3 linked regions of the Bombyx mori genome follow. The protein of the gene in region 2 purifies or fractionates together with the protein of the main gene of each other region. This does not show direct contact. Links are inferred from orthologs where the notes say so. Each region holds a gene or a part of one and is shown on either strand. Other genes may lie near its edges. The genes, in order: C2 domain-containing protein 5, acidic fibroblast growth factor intracellular-binding protein and cyclin dependent kinase 5.

The links.
Region 1: the proteins of acidic fibroblast growth factor intracellular-binding protein (region 2) and C2 domain-containing protein 5 purify together in Homo sapiens (affinity purification with mass spectrometry; 3 studies listed by BioGRID and IntAct, counting the BioPlex papers as one, with this or other methods). This does not show direct contact. The link is inferred for Bombyx mori from reciprocal best matches to the Homo sapiens genes FIBP and C2CD5.
Region 3: the proteins of acidic fibroblast growth factor intracellular-binding protein (region 2) and cyclin dependent kinase 5 purify together in Homo sapiens (affinity purification with mass spectrometry; 7 studies listed by BioGRID and IntAct, counting the BioPlex papers as one, with this or other methods). This does not show direct contact. The link is inferred for Bombyx mori from reciprocal best matches to the Homo sapiens genes FIBP and CDK5.

Annotation. Positions count from the first base shown.
Region 1 is NC_085113.1:1,779,789-1,783,442, forward strand, and holds part of C2 domain-containing protein 5, read right to left. Parts: intron 3,579-3,654; coding exon 3,487-3,578; intron 2,449-3,486; coding exon 2,330-2,448; intron 1,223-2,329; coding exon 1,097-1,222; intron 381-1,096; coding exon 290-380; intron 1-289. UniProt on the Homo sapiens protein: Required for insulin-stimulated glucose transport and glucose transporter SLC2A4/GLUT4 translocation from intracellular glucose storage vesicle (GSV) to the plasma membrane (PM) in adipocytes.
Region 2 is NC_085129.1:16,405,949-16,410,310, reverse strand, and holds the start of acidic fibroblast growth factor intracellular-binding protein, read left to right. Parts: upstream 1-1,448; 5' UTR 1,449-1,616; coding exon 1,617-1,701; intron 1,702-2,545; coding exon 2,546-2,642; intron 2,643-2,958; coding exon 2,959-3,060; intron 3,061-3,364; coding exon 3,365-3,446; intron 3,447-4,120; coding exon 4,121-4,266; intron 4,267-4,362. Other genes in the region: uncharacterized protein LOC105842300, read right to left, coding at 783-846. UniProt on the Homo sapiens protein: May be involved in mitogenic function of FGF1. May mediate with IER2 FGF-signaling in the establishment of laterality in the embryo.
Region 3 is NC_085125.1:9,569,021-9,573,311, forward strand, and holds cyclin dependent kinase 5, read right to left. Parts: upstream 2,873-4,291; 5' UTR 2,863-2,872; coding exon 2,205-2,862; intron 794-2,204; coding exon 555-793; 3' UTR 511-554; downstream 1-510. UniProt on the Homo sapiens protein: Proline-directed serine/threonine-protein kinase essential for neuronal cell cycle arrest and differentiation and may be involved in apoptotic cell death in neuronal diseases by triggering abortive cell cycle re-entry. Interacts with D1 and D3-type G1 cyclins.

The sequences.
Region 1 (3,654 bases), on a different chromosome or scaffold from region 2:
CAAATGTGTGAAAATGAAAAACGCTGAACAAATTCTCGAGATCCTCCAAAAAGTCCACTCGAAAAAGTCTCAGTAAATGGCCATCATTTTACTGAAATTATATTTCATCCCATATCATCTCATTTAATTTAATTTCATGCCAATTGATTAAGTTTACTTCGTTTTTTATTATTCATAACTGTAAATAATTAAAACGGTGAATTTTAAAAATCTTATTACTTGACGCTGGCTAATGTACAAACCGTGCTAAAGCCAAAAGCTAAATAAAAATAAGAAATATGGCGCTCACCGACGTCGTATCCGTTGGCGGCCTTGTTGGCGTTGAACGCGTCCCGGAGAGCCCTCTGTATCTCAGTCGCGTCCCGGTCACTTTCTGAGGCCTGGGTCACGATTCGTTGCATTACGACACAGATCCACTTACATTGGTCAAATTAATTAGATTTGACTGTTTCATCGTCCCCATTAGGTAAAGTTAATATATATATATATACTGTTAATAATAGTTAGTTGTAATATCAAATTGTCAAATCGATCAAGTGGTTTTTTACAATAGGTTTATAATATATAGATTTAGGGATAACTAAGGACATGAAGTCCTCATGGCCTCATGGATAAGACATCCGGTGCATTCGTATCTAGCGATGCAACGGTGTTCGAATCCCGCAGGCGGGTACCAACTTTTCTAATGAAATACGTACTTAACAAATGTTTACGATTGACTTTTACGGTAAAGGAATGACATCGTGCAATAGAAATAAAATCTGCAAAATTATAATTTGCGTAATTACTGGTGGTGGGACGTCTTGTGAGTCTGCACGGGTAGGTACCACCGCCCTGCTTATTTCTGCCGTGAAGCAGTAATGTGTTTCGATTTGAGGGGTGGGACAGCCGTTGTAACTATACTGAGAACTTAGAATTAATATCTCAGAGTGGGTGGCGGCATTTGCGTTGTAGTTGTCTATGGGCTCCTTAGTACCAGGTGGGCTGTGAGCTCGTCCACCCATCTAAGCAATAAGAAATAAATAAATAAAAAAAATTCGAAATATAAACATGTTTGTTTTTTGGTTAGGTCAGTTCAATTGTAAGGGTGGATCACCTTGAGCGCGGGGGGTGCGGGGGGCGGCAGCGCGCGCAGGCGGTACGCGGCCCCGCTGGCCAGCGCCACCACGCAGCGCTCGCCCACCGCCACGCGCGTGCACAGCGAGAACAGCGCGTTGGCACCCTGCGGACCACGCTCGATAAGGGGGGACAAGCGGGGGGCCACCCTACTAGTCCCCCCGGACCCACGGACACGCGGGGCACGCGACGTGTGTTACATTATAAGAGTTGAGAAGAGTGGATTTACAACATTTGAGTGGACTGCGAAGAGCCAAAAACAAATACATATACTTTTTCGCGTCATGGACCCCCGCTATAAGCGATACGTTCGGAAAGTGAAACGCTCGATCAAAAGCAACAATGAATTATAAAAACAGACGCTACAAATGATAATAATAATAATATCGACCTCAAATGAGGTTTATCTGACATGATTTGATTATCTTATATACATAATTATTATTATATAATAAAGACCCAGACAAAGAACAAATAAACTTATTCATCACACGAGTGCCCGACATGAGAATCGAACCCACGACCCTCGACGCAACAGTCAGGGCAGCTATCTGTACCGCCGAGTCGGTCAAATGACAAAAACAAATAAACGACAATGTTTGAATACTTCTACCTCTTATAAACAGTAACGACAGTCGCTGCTAACAACTACGAATGTTTTTACATTCTTCTGACTTATACATTTAACAGTGTCAAAAATTAACATTTTCTCTCTAAATTCTAACATCATTTCCATTTATTTTACACTTAAGACTTCGATAACAAAATATTTAAAGTACAATAAAAAATCGTAATAAACTCTTATCGGATAGTTCAAAAGAATTAAGCGCACACAGACAGGTAATTTTTAAAGTGAAACTTTTATTACATCGTCTCAATTTTTTTCGTCTGTGTGTTGCATGTCGCGTGACGGTCAGCCGCGGAGTAGGGATAGAGTGAAAGGCGATCGTCAGAGCAGCCAAGGCCAATATGGCGGCGCCTATAGTTCGCAGCAGCTGAGCGTGTAGTGTGTAGACTATTACTCATTTGTGCCAGTGCTCTACGCTATTTTGTTTGTTTTTGTCAGTGTTTGTAAATGTTGTTTGTCAAAGTTACATGCATATAATGTGAAAAAAAGTTTCACTTTTACCGTGCTTTCATAAAACCACACAATCTTTTTTTTTTGCATTAGTCATTTCTAAAATTAAAAATAGTAATGTTTGCCCAAACTCACCTGCATCCTCAGTTTGGCTAACAGCAGCTTGTGCAGCTCGTACTCTAAGAAGGGTAGCTGATCCGATATGTCCCTGGCGCCGGGCTCCGCCGTGGGGGGCGCCCTCCGCACGCGCGCCGCTGGAACACACGAGCGAGACATGGGGGCGGCGCCCGACCTGCCCCCCTTACACGTGCTCGGCACACGGTCGGGAATCACACCGTATAATAAAAATCGAAATCGCAAAAATTTAAATTTGCGTAAATACTGGGGTTCTCGTGGTCCCGCACCGATAAGATAGGATTTTTGCATTGCTGAAGTCTATAGGCGACGGTAACCACTGATCATGAGGTGCGCCGTATGCTCGTCTGCCCACAGGGGCAATAAAAAAAAGATACCACCGCGCTGCCTGATTCCGTCGCGAAGCAGTAACGCGACCCCAGACCGAAGGGTGGGACAACTGTTGTGCTGTAGAATCGGAGCTTAATTATGACTCAAGACGTCATCAGCATTATTGATGTCTATGGACTCCAGCAACAACTTATATCTCAGTCGGACACTCTTGTCAGAGTGGTCGTGGTTGCGTTGACGATATATAAACAGAAGCATTCGTTAGGTCGCCCACACACCCGATGACCGCCCTCCAGGTATGCTGTCTAGGTCTGGCGGTACAAATGCCACATGGGACCTTGTTTTTTAACCTAAGCTGGTAACCTAAGAAGGTTATGCCAGAGTAACTGGGCAAGTCCCAAATAGACCATTAGGGCTCGTTAACCCATCTGAAGTATAAAACTGAACGGTGGAACACGCGGGGTTTGCGTGAATGAATGAATGAATGAATGAATGAATGTTTTTTTTTATTTCAGACAACAACAACAAGTCCATATGTGTACATATGGAGTTTCTCGCCGGATCTTCTCAGTGGGTCGCGTTTCCGATCCGGTGATAGATTTTGCGAAGCGCTGCTCTTGCTAGGTCCCGTGTTAGCAACACTCCGGTTTAAGCCTCGTGAGCTCACCTACTAGTTAAGGTTATGCTGAAATAGCCTCTTAAGGCTATTAGCATAGGCAGGTAAGAAAAATTCTGTATTGAAACTGTGGAACGTGCCTGACTTTGCGTAAAGCTATATTGGCAGCCAGCGCTTACAGCACAGGCAGCTCCAAGTGCGAGGTACTCACCTACAGCAGTCAACGTGACGGCTTTGCCGTGCGTGGGCATGGTGCTGGGCTTGGCGCACGTGGCCAGCAGCACCGACGGCACCCGGGCGCGCCTGCGGACCAGAGTACGTTGTGACCACAGCAGGGACACACGGGCTGTCCTGAGACACACGCTTCGAGCGCCATCGA
Region 2 (4,362 bases):
TTTCACAATGCTTGGTAAGCTGTGGAAGAGATTTCATTTCAGACCAAGAAATTGTAGAAAATATAACATAAGTAGAGTTAGGCATTGAAGAATTTAAGACAGACCTTGGTGTTAGTACAGTAGTCAAGGTCACTGGCCACTAGACCAAGGATCAAAGCATAATAAACAACTAATGAATGCCTATAGATATCAACAATAACGTAATAGTTCAATGACAAAATCTTATAATTGTACCATCTTAATTACCATTAATTATTATCGGTTTGCAATATTTTTCATATCACCGGGATTTATTATTTTTTAATAATTTTTATATTATTAAAACTGCACAGTAATTCTTATAATAAACTTTTCATTAATTAATTACTTTAGGCTAGTTAAAATGCACTTTTATTTTCGATATTAAAAAAGAATTGGTTGAGAATGTTACAACTTTAAAGAATGGTTTATTTATGTTTTTTTTTTCCTATATCACATAGCACAAAAGTGAAAGGACCCATCTTTAAATACTAGCAGTGCTATTACCGTTAGAGTCCCCAGTCAAATATGCGTAATTTTTCGTTAAAAATAAAGTTGTTTTTTCGTTGTTTTTGACGGAAACTATAGCGAATTTATTGAGGACCTTGTCCTTAATCGATAATTAAATGCTACAGACCCGCAGTTATATAAAATCAAGGTCCTTCGACCGAAATTTTGGACGAAAAACTTATAAACCAAAGTTTGAATGTGGTAAACAAAATATGTGTTTCAAAACTGATGGCTTCGGTTATTTCAATACTTACATGTTTCCGGACTCCAGAGTACAAAAAAAACACATAAAAATGTACAAGATGTTATTGAAAACATTTTTATTTATTTTAATACATATCTAATTGTGACACTACTGTAAGTTCGCCATTTTCGTTTGTGTTACTGCGTATAATCTATGGTTTAACGTTAGCGTTCCGTTTTATTTGACTTCATGTCATTCCTGCCTAGTGCTTCAACGTGTTGTAACTTAATCGAAATTCTTGAATGTTACTTAATCATTAAAATTTTTGAAAATAGTATTACTTAAATGCACTACAAAAAAGGTGTATCAAACTATTTTATTCCTGCTTCCCGTACCTAGTAAAAGAAAGCTTCTAAAGAAAGCTAGCTTTCTAGTAAAAGAAAAAACGAAAAGTTATAGTTTGATAGTTGACAATGATCTGTAGCGCCCAAAAAGTCGACCACCACCACATCTAGGCAGAAAGACTAACGTATTTTGAAGAAGATTTAAATGAATGGAAGAGTGAAAGATGACACTAAATGGTGGAGAGAAGAAAATTAAAATCACTGGATGTGGTTTCTAACTTCATTACATTTATAAAATTAAACAAATACACACTATATTTTTTCTATTCCTTAATTTTATTTCAAAATAATTTTCAATCAATTTCACTAAAGCTATAAAAGGTTTGGCTCATGGCTGTATGGGCTGTGCCTCCGTTTGTCTGATATACAAATATTTTTTTTGCTAATAACAAATTACAAAAATTACGATTAAATCATTTATTTAAATGCATTAAAATAGGTAGCGATTAAAAAGAAATGCAAAGTTAAAGAACAAATAGGTTAAGACAAATAACAAAAAAATGTACACAGAAGTTGATGTATTCGTTAGTAATTATACACTGATCGATCCTGAAATATACCAGTTATGGATCGAGGGTTGCTCATGTGAGTACAGCTGATGTGCTTTTATTACAAATATAATTTTAGTTCTTAATTAAAGTAATAACTCTTATATTCATTAATATTCAAATATTATTAATATCCTCAATGTCGGTCCTATTTCAGAATAAAAACAATATTTGTAGATACAAAATTCTAGCTAAAACTATAATTTATAAATAAAATTGAAAACAATAATACAACTACCATGAAACCCTTAGTGGAGCTCATCTAACTAAGCATTTTTTAATATTGCTTAGTTGGATGAGCCTACGGCCCACCTGATGTCAAGGGGTTACCAAGACACCCTACCACCAAAGACTAGTATAACAGCATTGCTGTGTGACAGCATAACGGTACTATGATGTACATTAGCACTCATGATTTGGTGTCAGGGGGTGAGAGGGCAGAAGAAAAAGGAGTGACTATATTAAAACAGACAGACTATTTCGGTGTAGTATGAAACTTAAAAAGGCTTTGGTCGTAAGTCTCTCATGTAGATCTTGAGGGCTCAACAATATCCTGCCCTGAATTTAAATTGAGAAACTAAGAATCTAATTGCAAATCGAAGTCTAATTTTAATTCTTTTTAGTCCGAGACTACAACCAACACATGAGCATAAGAAATATATATTATAGAGTATGTGCAAAACACGGGAATATTTGACTAGCCTATCAGAATATAGTAGATATACTTGTTGAATTCGGAATATATATTTATCATAGCATATATAGCATCTATATAATTTATTATAAATGACGAAAACCTGTCTTTATTATTGGAAATTCCCAAAACTTTCAAAAGAATATTGTCTTAATTATTGAGAAACAAAATGATACGTAACTTTCAGCTAGTGAAGCAGTGTCAACTCTGCATCAGCGTGGTGCAGCCAAACATTTAGGAACATCTGTAGAGCTGATAGCCAGCGATGTACTCGATCATTACAGGTTAATATCAAAAGATACCTTTTAAATAACCATTACTATTATTAATTTATTAACTCATGGTAACAAATGACTTCAGAGCATAAGTGACAACTGCTTGGCTTTGTCCCTGGCATTGTTGATGTCCATAAGCGATGGAAACCACTTACCATCAGGTGGGCTGTATGCTCAGCTGCCAAAGGCAATAATAAGATATAAGTACTAAATGTGAAAATTATTTGATTGCGTCTCTTCAGATAACACTTTTGTGATAACACCATCATCTTACTCAATGTTGAATGTATGACCATAAAAATATTGTTTTAATTTTATTCATCAGAACTTTTGCATTGCTTGAGAGGCTGCTCACGGTACCATCAAAGTTGACAGAGCAAATGATCTTCCAGCTGGACGAACAGACGAAACACATGCTCATAGAGAAGTGAGTTTATTGTTTTAGGCAAAAGAAATTATATAATTCTGCAGTGAATGAATAATGTCCTATAATTAAATATTGGGATGTATTTTGAACCCCTACGCTTAGAACCCACCATCCTCTTTCTAATGCATTCCATTCAGAAATGAAAGCTTTTGAGCAATTAAATTGAGACTTCCATCTTATCACTTGATCGGTAATAATATTCATATTGTAATAACTACGAGGTGCAATAACCACTAGACACTATAATATATAGGTGATGATTGGTCCATATTATGCAGGTGGCTCATATTATAACATTATACAGATATTATGACCTGGATGATGCAGTCATAAGAGAGTTGCTTGGAAGGAAGTTATCCTCCAGACACAGAAAAGATTTAGATGAGGTGAGTTTTAAGAGCATTTTAAGGATTCAGATTTGACACAATACTAACATCCAGTAAAAAAATATAGACATGATTATTGGCGCTAGATTGAATTGGAATAACACATGGGTATGTATTATTTAATTCTGCTGACAAGTCATTCAGTGTTAATGGTAGGTCAGCTGTTGGACAATATATTAGTTGAAATTACCTTGGGGTTCCTGTGAGCTCTGGTAATCACTTAAAAATAGATGGACCTTGAATTTGATGATCTGTTTCTATTATATTTTGTCTACTGCCGACATTGAGAATAAATTCTATTTTAGCTGGAATGGACCTACTTTAGAACCACTATAGTGAGAGCTCAGTCGGTGTCTAAGAGTCCTCCTAGATGAAATTACAAATCGCCTCCCAAGCCTCTACACAACGCCCCCATGTTTTTTCGGGGTCCGAGAAAGGCTGGTCTATTTAAAGCAAGAAGGAAAAAGCATTTATGGTCAAATCAATGAGACATCCAGTGTGCCAGGATGAATGCACAATTGCGAGCAATGGATATTGATTTAAAAAAAAAATAGTTGCGATCAATGATTAATTGTAAATCTTACCGATTTTCAAGGTTAACCCTACAAATTGTTTTCCAATTTAAAAAAAAAATACAATGTCCGTTATTAAATCGCGTTTTTCCAATGTCCCAGGTGGCGGAACGCTCGGGCGCGCCTCTGCGATGCTGTCGTCGTCAGTTCGACAACGTGCGTAGAGTGTTCAAGGCAGTGGAAGAGATGCCCGGAAACGTGGTCGCCAATATAAGAAGCACATTCTTGCTGTCCGACCCGCTCGCGAAGTGAGTCATTACTGATTTTACCTATCAGAAGTTTAACTTCCGTATTAACAGAAGTTTGACTTCTGCATCTTCAGAAGTTTGACTTCTGTAACTCGG
Region 3 (4,291 bases), on a different chromosome or scaffold from region 2:
CACTTTGAGTGGAGTCAGTTGCTAATAATGTGAATGCACATTTACAATTTTGTAAAGTGAGTTTTTTAAATATGTAGTCAGCTATCTGACTCTACATTTTCATTGCTAAATATAAATAAGTTTCATTTTAACAATCAATTTTGTTTTGTTTCAAAGTGCATTTATGTTTTACGCATCAATATTATACTTAATATTTATATGTTTTTACTTTTTAATTCATCATTTCATCTTTCATATTACACATTATTAAAGTCCATTTGTAAACCATTTGTTCATAAAGTTAACTTCATTTTAATTTAGGACATTTCAGTAATAATTATAAAATCGATTAAAAATATCACTAGTAGCCAAATACTGGAACCTTATCAATATAATTTGAAACATAACAATTCCCAATATTATGGTATTTAAAATTACTTGGTAAAAATACAGTATTTGGCAGTACTTTTCTTAAAATCTAATTAAGTCTCATCCTCACAACACTCTTCTATTTCATCATAGTTCTTTTCACAATAAATAAGTTCTGACGTACATTTGTACGGATGGATTGATTGTTAACATCGATCATTCTTGACTGACGGATTGAGATCGTGGAAATACGCATGCGCCATTGCATCATCAGCTGGCATTCTTAAAGCTGGATTGCAGGTGAGCAGCCGAGCGAGTAGATCTCGACCTCTAGCCGGCAATCTTGGTACAACTTGGGCGAGGCCTAAACTTGGCTGATAAACAGGCAAAGGTTTGTAGTCCGGCAGTTGAGTTACTCCAGGCCATGTGTCCTCATTGGGTGTACCTGATAAGTAAACATAGTTTGATTGAAAAAGGATAACTGACAGATTAATACACCCATACAATACCAGTGACACACTTCCTATTTGTATGTCAATGAATAAGTCTTTGCAAATGGCACAATATTTACAATGCAAGAGCTTTGATGTAATTTTCCTAGACAAATCTATATATTTTTACTAAAAATATGTAAAAGTTAACTATTATTTTGTAACACTTCAGTACACTCTGTAGGCATTTTTATAAATACTATGTTTACCGTAAGTTTCTGAAATGCAGAAGAAGAAATCTTATGATGGCAGAAAATTATATTCATTTGCTAATTAAAGTATTTATGATATATATATAGAAGGGGTCTGCAATATGACTCAGCAAAAAAATTAAATAACAACACAAAATTTGAAACATGAGTCGACTATTATCAAAGGCGGCAATCTGACTTTTTGACAATGATTGGTAAATCAGAAAAACGAATTATTGACTTTGTATTCCATTGGCAGTCACAAAACTCTTCGGAACGACATCTTAGATAAATAACAGGTTAACTATTAACCTTTATTTAATGCAGGTTTTGAACCGTATTCTTTGAAGGAGACGATTATATTCAAATAAATCTGTATTGACATATCAATAAAAAAAATTTGTCCAAATGTACAGATTGCCACCTTTGATAATAGACGACTCACATGTTCAAACTTTAATGGTATAATATGTATTTTTTAGTTTAATATGGTACATGATGTCATGATTGACTATTTTAGTAAAAAAAATGATTTATTATTTAAATGCCGAAGTGTTCATCAATTACAATAAGTTATAGGAAAGGAAACACTATTCCTACTTAATGACATTGTTCGACCGTGAGTGTTGGGATTAACATTCTTATATTATTTTGTACTTGGAGGACTAGGCTAACAACTTTTGTCAGGCCGGTAATCTTTATGCCAACCCATAGATTGTTTCTAACTTTTTTATGCAGAATCTGCAATCTAATAGGGGGTTGACTAGAAAATAGTATGTGTGGAATTATCAGACAGCTGTTTACTAAGCCCCCAACAGAATAAAGTAGCAATGGTGATATGGTATATTGTAAGCCTACTCTCTAGTTTGTTGGGAGAGTTAAAATTCAATAAATTTATTTTACATATTGTTATAATCTGTCCGATCCTTTAAATAAGGCATCAATCAGACATAATCATAGTTCTTACTTTTGCATAATTATATGCAGTTAATGTTGGTATTAAGCTCAGAGACTCGGCCATTCAAATTTAATTTAAGATCTAAACCAGTTTTGTGATATGACTTTTTATTGTCACCAAGAGCCCTTATGTGGTTTTCAATATAAAATCATAATTAGGCTTCCTAAATTCAGAATAGAGTAATAAAACTTTGGAGATTTATTATGATGAACTCACCTAAAAGCTTAAAAATCCTCTTTAATTGATCATCAACATCTGAACCTGGGAATAGCGGTCTGCCCGAATTTGCAAGTTCTGCAAATATACATCCAGCAGACCACATATCAATGCTTGTTGTGTACAACTTAGCACCAAATAATACATCAGGAGGCCGGTACCATAAGGTTACAACTTCAGCGGAATAGCACTTTACTGGTATGCCAAAAGCTCTGGCCAGACCAAAATCAGCTAACTTTAATTCACCGTTCTTGTTTATTAAGAGATTCTGTGGCTTCAAGTCCCTATGGAGAACGTTGTGGCTGTGACAAAAAGCTAGTCCTCGAAGTAATTGATACATGAATGATTTCACAACATCTAGATCTATTTCTCCATTCAAACTATCGAAGTATTTTTTTAAGTCTTGATCACAATGTTCAAACACTAGGGTTAATTTCTTTTCGCTGTGCAATACATCGTAAAGTCGCACTATATTTTTATGCTTTAATTCTTTGAGAAGACATATTTCACGAAGAGCGGAAGATGGTACTCCTTCATCGTCGTCGTCTAATCTAACACGTTTGAGCGCTACGATTTCGTGTGTTTCTTTATTCTTGGCTTTAAATACCGTACCATAGGTTCCTTCACCGATTTTTTCAAGTTTCTCATATTTTTGCATATTTTTGAACTACAGATTTACTCACTTTAGTTCGATCGATTGTTTTTAATTTAGACTGACTTATATTAAGTGTATAATCTATGGACTGACTGATTTTTGAGTAGTTGTTCTATTTTTCCAACCGGACAGGCACAGGTATCTTACTATACAGCCTACGCTTTTGATATATATTTTTTGAATAATGATAATATGAAGTGAAATTAAATGAATTTGATTAATTTGGAACGTTAATCACTTGACATGAAATGAAATTAAATGAGATGAGATAGTATGGGGTGAAATATAATCTCAGTAAAAAGTTGATTGTTTACTGAGACTTTTTTGTGGACTTTTTGGAAGATCCCGAGAAGCTACGTCCAGCGACTTTGTTTTATTTTCCCATATTTGTGTACTTTTACAGATACTAAACAGTTAATAAGCCACGATTAATCACACACTACCACATTTAAACCTGAAGAAACACTAAATATACAGAATAAAACAATTCACACAACTTCACTCCTCGCATTCCTGCTAAAAAGTCCTCTGTCTTATTAGTACATACTACATGTTGGAGTTTGAATATGAAAGTAATGGCCGGCAACAGTTGACACATGTAAGGTTACAGTTTCGAATATTGGAATTATTTTAAAAGTCTAAAATAAATAATTGTGTTCTCGTCAGTGAAGACAACGACTTCTCATCTAGACACGGTCAGAGCAACATCTAAGAGTTTTATAAAAAATAAAACATTGTAATAATGTTATAGTGTACAAAGTGTTTGCAATATAATTATATTAACCATGAAGCAGAGTGTTTTTAAATAGCCCCTCATCAACCTACAGAACCCAATCCCCTCAAATTTCACCGTCCAACACTACATACAACTATCTTATAAATCTACATATTATTATGCATGTGAAGGGCCGTCAAACATTCATTCGCAAACTTAGCAGCTGTGCAAATGGGTTCGGTAGTCAATTCGCGAACCCGTTTGCGCTTCCTCCTACACTTGTTTACGAATGTCTCACGAATTTCTCCTCCTTTTTAATTCGTCAATAGACATTGAAGAGAAAAAGAGTTTTGAATTCTTTCCCAGACATCATTAACAGCCATGCTGTTTTTATGGGATTTCTTTTGATGAAGATACGTTACACAGTAGACGTCACGAACTATGAAAATGACGATACGTCCGTTACCTTCGTAATCGTCGGCGCAACTGGGCAAACGAATGTGTGGGAGACTACGCGAAGGCTCGCGGTTCGCGCGCTTTGATGTCTGTTAAAAAACCGACACAGCTTGGAAAACCACGAATGTAGCGAAAACTTTGCATAATCATTTGCAAATGTCGTCCTACACTTGCGGGTTTGCGTATTCGTGCGCATGTGAGTGACCGGTGTTATAAACGTGCAAGGAAATCATAGTATTAGAGCATACAGGCGCAGGTCTA